3 linked regions of the Cricetulus griseus genome follow. The protein of the gene in region 2 purifies or fractionates together with the protein of the main gene of each other region. This does not show direct contact. Links are inferred from orthologs where the notes say so. Each region holds a gene or a part of one and is shown on either strand. Other genes may lie near its edges.

What was found.
Region 1: the proteins of Stk11 (region 2) and Fkbp5 purify together in Homo sapiens (affinity purification with mass spectrometry; 8 studies listed by BioGRID and IntAct, counting the BioPlex papers as one, with this or other methods). This does not show direct contact. The link is inferred for Cricetulus griseus from reciprocal best matches to the Homo sapiens genes STK11 and FKBP5.
Region 3: the proteins of Stk11 (region 2) and Cops3 purify together in Homo sapiens (affinity purification with mass spectrometry; 5 studies listed by BioGRID and IntAct, with this or other methods). This does not show direct contact. The link is inferred for Cricetulus griseus from reciprocal best matches to the Homo sapiens genes STK11 and COPS3.

What each region holds. Positions count from the first base shown.
Region 1 is NW_023276806.1:233,602,944-233,607,109, forward strand, and holds the start of Fkbp5 (peptidyl-prolyl cis-trans isomerase FKBP5), read right to left. Parts: upstream 2,837-4,166; 5' UTR 2,721-2,836; exon of another isoform or gene 2,553-2,720; intron 2,322-2,552; exon of another isoform or gene 2,177-2,321; intron 1-2,176. UniProt on the Homo sapiens protein: Immunophilin protein with PPIase and co-chaperone activities. Component of unligated steroid receptors heterocomplexes through interaction with heat-shock protein 90 (HSP90).
Region 2 is NC_048598.1:100,914,834-100,919,070, reverse strand, and holds the start of Stk11 (serine/threonine-protein kinase STK11), read right to left. Parts: upstream 2,874-4,237; 5' UTR 2,846-2,873; coding exon 2,556-2,845; intron 1-2,555. UniProt on the Homo sapiens protein: Tumor suppressor serine/threonine-protein kinase that controls the activity of AMP-activated protein kinase (AMPK) family members, thereby playing a role in various processes such as cell metabolism, cell polarity, apoptosis and DNA damage response.
Region 3 is NC_048600.1:73,949,333-73,952,954, forward strand, and holds part of Cops3 (COP9 signalosome complex subunit 3), read right to left. Parts: intron 3,323-3,622; coding exon 3,210-3,322; intron 3,117-3,209; coding exon 3,067-3,116; intron 1,045-3,066; coding exon 952-1,044; intron 1-951. UniProt on the Homo sapiens protein: Component of the COP9 signalosome complex (CSN), a complex involved in various cellular and developmental processes.

The sequences.
Region 1 (4,166 bases), on a different chromosome or scaffold from region 2:
TATAAAGAAATCCAGGCTGGTGAGATTGCTCAGCAGGGAAAGTCATTTGCCACTAAGCTGGACCACTTGAATTTGAAGTTCAGGATTCACATCGTGGAAGGAGAAAACCAACTCCAAAGTTGTCCTCTGACAGCCACACCTGTGCCAGCATGGTCTCAATAATAAATAAATAAATAAATAAATAAATGATAAAATTTAAGAAGAATAAAAATAAATCCTCTCAAATGTCAAGTAACTGAAAAGTAAATATTGAGAAACATACTTTTAAAAAAGGTTGGAATGACAAAAACCTCATTCATGCATGAACTCACTGTTTTAAAACAATTTAAAAAGGATATTCCTACATTAACTTAAAATAATCTCAAGTGGTCCCAACCAATAGCTAACTCAAACTATCTAGATGAATAAAATGACCACTCAATTAATTAGTGCAATTAAATAAAAATTAACTGTGCTCTGAAATACAGACTACACCCAGTGCAGTTCCCACACAAGACACGTTAGAAGTGAGAAAGGAAGAAAACCAAAGCGCGTGTTTCTAACGAATCATGAATGTTATTAACCTTTGCATTTAAAGATGGTTAAAATACACCATTTCTGTAGAAACCCCAAAGTAAAAGCTGTCAGAAGACTGTTCAGCACATACCGGACAGCTGGGAGAGAGGCAAACAGAAAATGGTTAAGTGAAAATACGACAGAGTAAGAATGTCCCAGCAGAATATTTTTCAAGTCATACCTTGAATTGATTCGGGCACCAAGAGTAGGAACTACTACAATTCTATAATAATAATAATAATAATAATAACCACATAGCAAACACTAACAGCAAGAAGGGGAGGGACAAAATTCTTAAATACATGTTAACTTTTCCCTTGTCCTCTACCCTAAGAAAATGGAAAGACAATGAAAATCAGCACTCTCTCCTACTCCTAGGGAAGGCAAAGAAAGTGCCCATTCAACGCTCAGTCTCAGTCCGCTGGGAAAAAAAAAAAAATCCCCAAACCACCAGTTCCCAACTGCAGCTTGCAGAGTTGACTGAACGGCAGGCAGCCAGGCGCGGTACACAGTGTCCCGAGCCCTGCACGACCTGTGCCTCCCACAGCTTTCGCCACCGCCGCTGCCGCCGCCGAAACCCCTGTGTAAAGAGCAGGGCGCGAGCGCTCCCCCCGGCTCACCCACAGCGAGGACGGTGAAGATGACCACAGCGCAGTGCGCTCCCTTCGCTTCTGGCGGACACGCACTTTCTCTCACACACACGTTAAACTCACGCCGGGTTCCGAGTAGGGGGCTTTGGCCGGGACGGTGGTTGTGATGTCCCAGGGCAGAAGGGAAGGAGACTCCAACACAACTTTCATTTCTTTATTATTGGGAGGGAGTGTGAGCATGTGTGCGTGTGTGTGAGCGTGTGTGAGCATGAGCATGCGTGTGTGTGTGTGTGTGTGTGTGTGTGAGCGTGTGTGAGCATGAGCATGTGTGTGAGAGCGTGTGTGTATGTGTGTGTGTGTGTGAGCGTGTGTGAGCATGAGCATGCGTGTGTGTGTGTGCGCGTGTGTGAGCATGAGCATGTGTGTGTGTGAGAGAGAGCATGTGTATGTGTGTGTGAGCGTGTGAGCATGAGCATGCGTGTGTGTGTGTGTGTGTGAGCATGAGCATGTGTGTGTGAGCGTGTGTGTGTGTGTGTGTGTGTGTGTGTGTGTGTGTGTGTATGTCTTATACACGTGGAGGTCAGAGGACAACTCTCGGGAGCCGGTTCGCCTCAGACCACCTCGGTTCCGGGGATCTAACTCAGGTCGTCACACTTGGCGACAAGCGCCTGTGCCCGCTCTACCACCTCGGAGGCGCCGAAAGCAACTTTTAATTGGCTTTTGTTTGTTTGTTTTCCCCTCTCGCTCTACCTCCGCGCCCCCCGGTCACCTGCCGGCCCGGAGCGGCGGGCCGGCCGGGCAGGTGAGGGCGGCGCGCCCGCGCGGCACGCCCAGGCGCCCTGCGGATCGCTGCACCGCGCCGCGGCGCGGGCCCCCGCGGGGCCCGGGGTCTCCCGCACGTCCCGTCCACGCCGCCCCGGGGAAGCCGCGCGAGGGGCGGCGGAGGCGCGATCGCCGGCGCACGGCTGACTCCCGGGTCCACCGAGCGCGCGCAAGCTCGCGCCCCATCCCCGCGGCCATGGCGCCCGTACCTGTCGCCGTCGCCGCCGCCGCCGCCGCGTCTCGGGCTCCGCGTCTCTCCGCCCCCGCGCGCGCCGCTCAGCCGCCCTCTCTGCCCGGCCAGCAGGCCGCCGGTCCGCACGCTCCGCGAGCTCAGCCGCGCGCCGGACGCCGCCGCCGGAGACTGGCAGCGCCCGCGAGCCGGCTAGTGCGCCGGGCAGCGCCCGGCTTCGTCCCGCCCACACCGGCCGCAGGACCCGCCTCCCATAGGGCCGCGGGGCTGTCAATCCGCCCCCAAAAGGCGCGCGGGCTGTGGCCCCGCCGGTCCCCATTGGTGGCCGCGCGCGGTCTATGCAAATGAGGCCCCGCCCCGTCGGTTTGCATCCCCGCCCCTCCGCTGCCGCGGCCCACGTGTCTGGCCCCTGGCCTTTGTGGGGGCCGGAGAGCGGGGATGGAGGAAGCCGGCCGACACCTCTCGGCGGCGTCCTTGGCCTCCAGACTAAGCGCCGCCAAGTCTCTGCCCCGCCTGCTGCCCACCCAGCCCGCCCTTCACCAGCCTGGACCCCGGACAGCAACCTCGTGAGCTCGAAGATGCTCCTTAGACCCCGGGAAAAGCCAAAACAGCACCTCGCTGCTCTCTCGGGACGCCCGGTGGGTGTGGCCGCGCTCTCCCCCGGGGCTCTGCCTCCCCTGCGCAGTAGCCCAGGGGACGGCGACACAGAGGAGCCCCAAGGATGGGCTGCTGAGCCCGCTCAGCTTCAAGACCACACCCCTCCCCCAGCCACGTGGCCAACCCGGGGTGACTGCCTCCGACATTCGGGAGCTGCACCTGGGGACTTGAGCGCGAACCTTCGTTTTCTAATTTTTTTTTTTTTTAAGAGCGCGTTTGAGTGCCCGCCTGCTGTGTGTCTGCGCACTGCGTGGGTGCGGTGGCCCGCAGAGGCCGGAAGAGGGCGTCGGATCTCCCAGGACTGGAGCTGTGAGCTGCCAAGGGCGTGCTGCGGGTGCCACCCAGGTCCTCTGAGAGAGGGCCGGTGAGTGCTAGGCTCTCGCTCTCCTTCCCTCCCTCCCCTTCCTCCTCTCTTCTGTCTCTCTCTCCCTCCCTCCCTCCCTCCCTCCCTCCCTCCCTCTCCCTCTTCCTCCTCCTCTCCTCTGTCTCTCTCTGCTTTTATTTTAGTTATTTATTTTTGTTTCTTTTGCATTGTCATACTTTAGAATATTTGAAGGCCTTCTATATGTCACCATGCCGGGGGATGGTATGGTCATTCCTTTCCTCTCTTCATAGACCTCTGCAGAAAAGACAAAACTGACACAGGAACCTCCTCTTGAGCAGGGGTCCTGTCTCAGTGACGGGAAACTTCCCCTTAACCAGCCTCCCAGGGGAGCCACAAGCTGCTCACATGAATTCGGTCAACAGCGCCATGTGGATAGCAACCGTCCTGCTCACTGATGCCAGCTGGTTTTGCATCTAGTGGGCAAGAACTGCACCCTGTGTGGAGGAGGGCGCACGGAGGTGAGAAGGCACCGTACCAGCCCGTGACAGCTCCGGGCTCACAGGCAGGGACATCCACACTTGAGTAACCCCCAGTTAGTTCTGTGGCACGTGTCTACAAAGAAGAGTGAAGAAGGGCTCTCCCAGAAGGTGGGAAGCTGTGAGCTCACAAAGCATGCAGACCTGGAACGGCTTAGGAACTGAGTGAACAGCTAGGGGCAGTGTGGGCCAATCTGCAGGGTTGTGTGGACTTGTCACATGTTCCGAGAGGAGACTCTTCCAGGAGGAAGAAAAGCCCGGGAGGCTGCCAGGCCATGTTGTAACACACCACAGCAAACAACAACAGGCGCTGTAGATACAGCAGCTGCCGGCTTTTTTTTTTTTTTTTTTTTCTTCTGGGCCAGAGTATGTGGGGGAACAGTCAGTTCTACAGTTCCGAAGACAGCCTGGCTAGCCCCACCCACTCCCCCAGAAAAACCACTCTGGCCACCAGACTTACCCTCCTCGGCATTTTCCCTAAGCACTGATGT
Region 2 (4,237 bases):
CTTCCAGAGGACCGGGGTTCAATTCCCAGCACCCACAGGACAGCTCACAACTGTCTATAACTCCAGTACCAAGGGACCCAACACTCTCACACAGACATACACGCAGGTAAAACACCAATGCACATAAGATAAAAAAAAAAAATTATATACACAAGAAAAAAAACAAACAAGAAGCAAACACACAAAAGCATTCTCAGGTTGACCAGCTTCAGTGGAGAGCTCTTGCCAGGTTCATGCCCTAGACTGTAATGTAGCATACAGACACTAGACTGGGAGTCATGTCTTGGGCGAGAGACACACACACACACACACACACACACACACACACACACACACACACACACACGGACACACGGACACACGGACACACACACACACACACACACACACACACACACACACACACACACACACACACACACACACACACACACACACACACGGACACCGACACGCTTCCTTAACCTGTCCCTGCTGACAGGTTTCAGAAGTATGTCCATTCACAAGCAAAGGGCAGCAAGGCTCACATGAAGCCCCACAGGTAAGTCAGTGCAAGACACCCACAGCACACTGAGGAGCAGCAGGTCCCTGCGGCCTTCTCAGAAAGGGAGGCGCCACACTGCCCCATGCCTTGGCGGGCATCCACAGTTATCATATTGGAAAGAGAAAGCTTTGCACACAGACTGGGTCTGGAAGGTTCCGGACACTTCACCATGAGAGAGACAACTTGAGTGGAGTTTATTAAGTCCTGAAAACAAAGAAGCCTTTTTGACTGGGCCAGCTGTCAGCCAAGCTGCCCCTTCCAGGCTGTGACTGTGCATGTGGGTCAGAGGCAGCCCACATGCCCACAGCCTCAGGGTTCCCACTACACCAGCCACACTAGTCCTCCATCACAGACACCTGGCCTTGGGTCATGTCATCCGAAGATCTCAGGACAGGGCAGTGTGTCAGACAGTCTGGTTTTTATCTTGTGTGTATGCAGGCGTCATAGCACACACATGGAAGCTGGGTCTGCTTTCACTGTGTGGGGCCCAGGGCCTTCACCCACAGAGCTATCTTGTCAAGTCCAGTTTTCCTTATGGCTGGTCTAAAACCTGAAGCAATCTTCCTGCCTCAGTCTCTCTACCACTGAGATAATAGGTGCTACTTGCCCAGACCAACTCCAGCTCTTGAGGAACAGTCCAAACACCTTACAGCAAGCACCCTAGCCATCTAGGAGCTGGTGGCCTCCAACAGACTGTGTCCAACGTCCCTCTAAGCTCACACGTGACACCTGTCACTCCCATGCCTCCCCACTAATTCAGGTGGGGCCACTTCAGGGCCTACGAATCAATTTCTCTCACCTGAACCTGCCTGGCTCTGCAAGCCACACCCTGACTGGGCAATGTTAGGTACAGAAGGCATGAAACCTGAGATAGCTAGTGAGGGCTTTGCAGTCATGGATGGAGCTGTGGCGCCCTCAGTCACAAGCAGAAACAGTACACAGGCTTGCCATGTGCACATGGAATGCTACTGACCTCAAGCCAGAATCCAGGCAACCTGGACAGTCAGATACATTGGGCTGCCAGGGGCCATAACCCTGAAGCCAAAGGGGGCTGAAGACCTGGGAGGGGCTGCTTGCCTCAGCAGACCAGTAGACACCACCCAGATGTAAGGTTATCAGCCTAAGACACCTCCACTTTCAGAAAACAGTGATTTGGAACCAGGTTTTCCCCAGCTCAGGTCTCTAACCTCTAGCTGGTCACACCTGGAGGAACACCCCCAGGCCCCACAGAGCCAGAATAACCCAGGGCCAGTCCTATACAAGAAGCCAAACAGGTCTGAGGCTAGCCCAAGACACCAGCCTGCCCTGCTCCACCAGCTGGGTGCACACACTTGGTCCTGGGGAGCTACCCACCTCCCTGTGAGAACCACTCAAGAGCAGCGCCCAGCTGGCAAAAACAAGGAGCTCCCAGCTTTTCCTGGGACAGGACCACAAGCAAGGTCACCAGCCAGGCAGAGTCTCTGCCAGTGCTGGCCCCACAGATAAGGCCCCTTCTTGGAAGACAGTAGGTGAGGTTTCCTAAGTTCCGCCCAGCCGGACAGGCGATAGAGTTCCCAAGGCCCAGCGACACCAAGCACGCAGGACACCGCAGGGACCAGCGCCAACACTGGCTAGCTACCTCCTGCCCCTGCCTCCCGCCTCCCAGCCTGTGTTCACCATTATTTTTGGCCCCACCAGTTCCCTCTGACTCCGTAAACAAAGTAGCCACCCGCCTGGCAACGCCCGCCAAGGAAGCCAGGCCAGGCCCGCGCCAAGATCCGGCCGAAAAAAGAGGGCTGGACGTGGCCACACGACCTCCCCCCTAGGGAAGTCCTGGGGGCTGCCCTAGCACACAGTCCCTACGCGGTGACGCTTAGGGATAGTGGCAGAGAGGGGAGAGGAAAAAGAGGGAGGAAGGAAATGAGAAGGGGAGGAAGGTTAGAGGGGAGGAAAGAATAGGGCCAGGAAGTAGAGAGAAAAGAGGAAGGGCCGCCCGAAAGCTCAAGGCCGGCCCCAGGCCCTTGGCACCTACTTCTTGACGTTGGCCTCGCCATTGGGGATCCTGCGTAGCTTTTTCTTCTTGAGGATCTTGACCGCCCTGCGACACAAGGTCTCGGAGTCCAGCACCTCCTTCACCTTGCCGTACGAGCCCTCCCCGAGCAGGTCCCCCATCAGGTACTTGCCGATGAGCTTGGCGCGCTTGCGGCGCGGCTGGTAGATCACCTCGGTGGAATCGATGCGGTGGATGAAGGTGTCCATGCCCACCGAAATCAGCTCACTCTCTGGAAAAAGGCCCAGCGGCTGGGGATCCCCCACGTCCATCCTGGCCCAGTCTTTGTCCCCTTCAGGGACGCCAATTCTTTTCGAGTTCGAATCTCCCCCCCGCCCGCCCCGCCCCGCCCCGCTTCTTACAAATGTTCAAGAAGGAAAACGGAGAAAGAAAAAAAGCCTCCCCAACACTCCCGGTCCCCTCGACCGGGTCCACGTCCCCTTCGTGGGCGCCAATTCTTCACTTTTGACTTTTCCCCCTTTCTTCTAGATGTTCAATGAGGGAAAAAAAAAAAAAAGGAAAAGCAACGAACCCCGCCAACCCTCGCGTCCCCCCAATTCAGGTCCCCGGGGACGCTGCTTCCGACGGAGGCGACGGTCCGCCGTCGCGGCGCGCGGGCCGCTAGGTCATGGTCGCCACTCGGGCCCCGCGCTCAGGCGCCCAAGGCGGCAGCGCCGAGGCCGGTCCGCGCCGTCCATGTCCGGCCCGCGCCGACGCCCCGCGCGGCCCCTTAGTTCCGTGACTTCCCGGGACGCGGACTCCACCCGGACGCAGGGCACCGGGACACCCGCAGGCCGCAGGCACCGAAGTCGGGGTAGTGAATCTTCCGGAGACCGATGGGTAAAAAAACACCCCGGGCGGCGGGTCCCCCTCGCCGCCAAGCCGCCGCGCGACAGGCAGGAGGCCGGAGCGGCGAGGGGGGAATCGAACTTCAGGCAGAAAGATGCTGCCCGCGAGGGGAAACTCCAAGCCGGCGCCACCCTCCGCGGCTCGCGCCTCACTCGCGGACACCGTGAGCCGCCTCCCCTTCCCTAGACCGACACGCCGCCGCCATCTTGTTTACCGCCCTGCGCCGCGCCGTCGTCGCACGCCTCAACGGCGGACACGCCCCCTCGCGGAGCCGACGTGCGCGGCCGTTGGCTGTAGCCTTAAGTCCCGCCCCCAGACACGCCTCAATTCCCAACGCGGATTGGCCTATTTGGATCGGAGTAGGCGCTCGAGCTGACATTGGACAGCTCGGGTTCCACCTCAGAAGGCGGGACCTACGTTCTCATTGGTTGACTCAGACGCCCGTCAATGAGAATTGGAGTAAGCAAGCGACTGTAAAGGAGCGACATGAACGGCTGTGGGCGGTGGCTTCAAGCCCCGCCCCTCGGTGGGGCTCCAGAGATGGAATTGGTCAGCGCTGATGTGTGTAGGCGGGATCTTATCTCTGAATGGTCGTTACAGACGCCCGTCAGCCAGCGCGACTGACGAGCGGTAAGGTAGCTTGTAGAAGTGACCTCGGAGTTTCGGGACTCGGGTTAGAGTTCACGCGCGCCAACGTCCTCCGGAGAACGGCCGCGAGTGGGAGGGTGGAGAGACAGCCTTGCGGCTCCCTGAATTCACCCAGTCCGGCGTCGTTCCCAACGGCCCTTGGGAACGGGACAAAGGTCAAAAAGCGC
Region 3 (3,622 bases), on a different chromosome or scaffold from region 2:
TTAGAGGCAGACACATGCAGATCTCTGCGAGTTTGAGACGAGCCTGGTCTACATAATGAATCCCAGGACAACTAGAGCTTATGTAGAAAGACACTGTCTCAAAAAAAAAAAAAAAACCAAAACAAAAACCCAATAATAATCAAATCAAATAAAAACTAGGTATATGCTATTCCTATCCCAAAAGCACTTTGAAAAAAAAAAAAAGGAACATGTGTCAGAGGTATCCACAACACAAAACACTCCACAGTAGCTCCAATGAAACCTACACACATTACAGAATGCAGTCTAGCATAACAGAGATCATAGATTCATCTTCAAGATGCATTAAATAGGAAAAAGCAAGATATATAGAAATCCACACAGATTACTGGGATCTGTGGGCTTTCCTTTTTCTTTTTCTTTTAGTGGCGCACGCCTTTAATCCCAGCACTCTGCAGAAGCAGGCGCATCTCTGAGAGTTTGAGGCCAGCCTCAAAGCTTTGGTCTACAAAGCTATACAGAGAAACCCTGTCTTGGAAAACCAAAGAAAAAGTATGTGTTTACACTTGCTTGTTTGTGTAAAGTATCTGTAGAACAAATGCACGAGAAAGTACCAATGAAGGTTTCCTCTGAAAAGAACTGTGGCTAGCAACAGTGACAGGGAGACCTCATCACACATCCTCACTTTTGGGGAGTCTTTTGGACTTTGAGTTACTTAGCATAAGATAAATAAATGAATAATGTTTTAAGTATAAAACACTGCCTGTGTTTTTACTCTTCAAGTTCTATAATTTATTGAATAGAAAATGACTTAAATTTCAAAAAATGCTACAACCATTACAATACCCCTATTTGTAAGTCCCACCCTCCATATGTCAACCCCTTAACACACACTCCACCCATTATCTTGTTGAGCAAACCCACAAATAGCCTCACACCAATGATCAGGTGTGAATCACACTTGCTGCATACCTGGCAGAGATCGGCATGTACTGAGGTCAGCTGGTTTGTATTCATCTGCATCTTGTCTATGGCTTGCTTAAGGATGCCAATTCCTCGAAGGGGCTGTCAGAAATGACATCTCTTTCAGATAAGTTCTCAAAGTTGGCAGCACATTGGATCTTATGTTGTCACTTACAAATAAAAAACAACACTAATTGATAGGTTCCTTACATAGCAATAAGGTTTCCATACTATGTCAGGAAATGTCTGCCTCTATTCAGTCAGAAAGTGTTTTGATAAGTTTCTTAGAATACTTAAGAAAATTTCAGTATTATATTTTAAATCAAAACCTTTTTTTTCTTTTATAATGAATATCAGTAATAAACTGTATTACTTTGTTGAGGGTGGGAGATGGCTCAGTTGGTAAAGTTCTTGCCATGTCAGTATCAGGATCTGAGTTCAATCCCCAGGACCCATTTAAAAGCTGGATGTGGCAGTACAAGCCCCTAATTCCAGCACCCAAGAGCTAGAGGGAGGAGGATCTCTCTGGCTTACTAGCTAGCTTGTCTAGACAGTCAGAGGGCAAAAACAAGGTAGAGAGTGAATGAAGAAGACACCCAGTGTCAACCTGTGACCTCCACATACATGGGCACACATGTGCACACACATGTACACAAAACTAGAGTATTTCCTAATAGCTACAGTTAGCACTGTAACAGAAGCTAAGTGAATGATGGTGCTGCATGTTTTTCACTGGAAGATTAGCCCTAAAGACTGAATCTATCCTAAGCAGGCTGTTTTCCACCCCCAGTTACAAATAACAGTATTCAGCCTCAAGTGAAGCATTACTCTCTGGTCTGAAGAAGCTAGAATATACCTACATAATTTTACAGCTTTTTCAATAAAGAGGCATGATAACAGCTCTCCTCTCCTCCCCCCCCCCCCCACCACTCAGGAAGTGACACTGTAGTATCACCCACCCTTAAGACAGGGATCATGTGTGGCCCAGTCTAACCTTGAACTAGATATGTAGCCAAGGTTAACCTTGAATGCATGATCCTCCTGCCTCTACCTTCCAGTGCTGGGACTACAAAGCTGTTTTTGTTTTTTTAATGTGCATAGGTTTTCTGCCTGCATGTACCACATGAGTGCCTGGAGGCCAGAAGAGGGCATTGGATGCCCTAGAACTAGAGTTACATTCAGTTGTAAGTGACCATGCAGATGCTTGGTATCAAACCCAGGTTCTTAGCCAGTGCTCTTAAGTGCTAAGCCATCTCTTTACCCCCACAGCTTTTAACCAAACTGTTTAGTGCTCCTACATAATACCAAAGGCTCCTTCTGCTTTCAGCCTCCTGGCCTTAAAGTTCATTTTCAAATAAAAAAGAAACACCCAAATTATAATTAGTGTCAAAGGCAAAGTCTAAGAACCATTCCAAGTGAAAGTAAACTAAAGAGAAACAATGAGTACCAACCTATGCTCTAAGGTCTGCTTTTGCTATAGAGATCATCAAGCATGTATCTGGCCATATCTGGCTTGAATCTGAGGTTTTGTGAGAGCACTATCTTAACATCCATTTCCAGACGCTGGCCATGTTCACTGTGGCCTAGGAGAATGTCTAGAAAGCTCCCACTGAAGGTATTTAAGATAAGGAACAAACATTTACAATTGAATTTCCTCCAATGGTGGGGGAGGGAATAAACAAGTGCAGTGAAACACTAACATTTGAAGAATCTAAGTCAAGAGATATAAGAAGTCTTTATATTATCCTTTCAGTGTTTGATATGGTAAAAATCATCATAATCAAAAGCTAGAAGGAAAAAAATAGCATCATTATAATACAAAGGGTAGTTTTTTGTTTGTTTGTTTTCTTCCTTCAGTGCTGGGCATGTAGTCAAGTACCTTATATGTGCCAAGCAACTGCTCTCTACCAATGAGCCACATTTCCAGCCCAGACATGCAGCTTCAAAAACAATCATCACTACCAGTCACCTCCCTGGAGGCATCACATGTTAGCCAGAGTGCTCTCAAGGAACCACACATATTGGGATATTAGGTACCGAGCCTAGACTTTTTTTTACTACACTAGTTCATGACTCAAGCACACATTTTAACAGAACTATGAATACTTGAATAACATTTCTTACCTGTTTTCTTTCCACAAGTGCATTTGTTAGCTGATGGCAAAGCCCAGCAACTAGATGCAACAATAACAAAAATAACAAAATATTGAAAATATAAACACTGCAAAGGGAAATACATTCAAGAAGAGGAAAGACTATTAGCTTACACGTATCTGTTGCATATCGAATGTGCTCGCCATTACATGTACTAATGAAAAGCTGAACCTGTGAGAACAGGGTTTCAAAGTCAGGAACACTGGGCATTGAAAACTTCACAAACCTGGAATAGGGAGAAAAAGAACCAAATTACCTTATATTTTATATAGTAAAGAATAGAAACAACTTAAGCCTAAAGTCCATCCAGCCTCTGTGAAACTAAACACCACAGGGCTGGAGAGATGGCTCAGTGGCTAAGAGCACTTGTTACTCTTGCAGAGAACCCAGGTTAAATTCCCAGTACCTACACTATGGCTCATAACCATAACTTCCTTTTTAGGGGATCTGATACAATCTTCTCATCTCCACAAGCATCAAGTATGCAAGTGGTACACATACATACATACATGCAAACAAAACACTC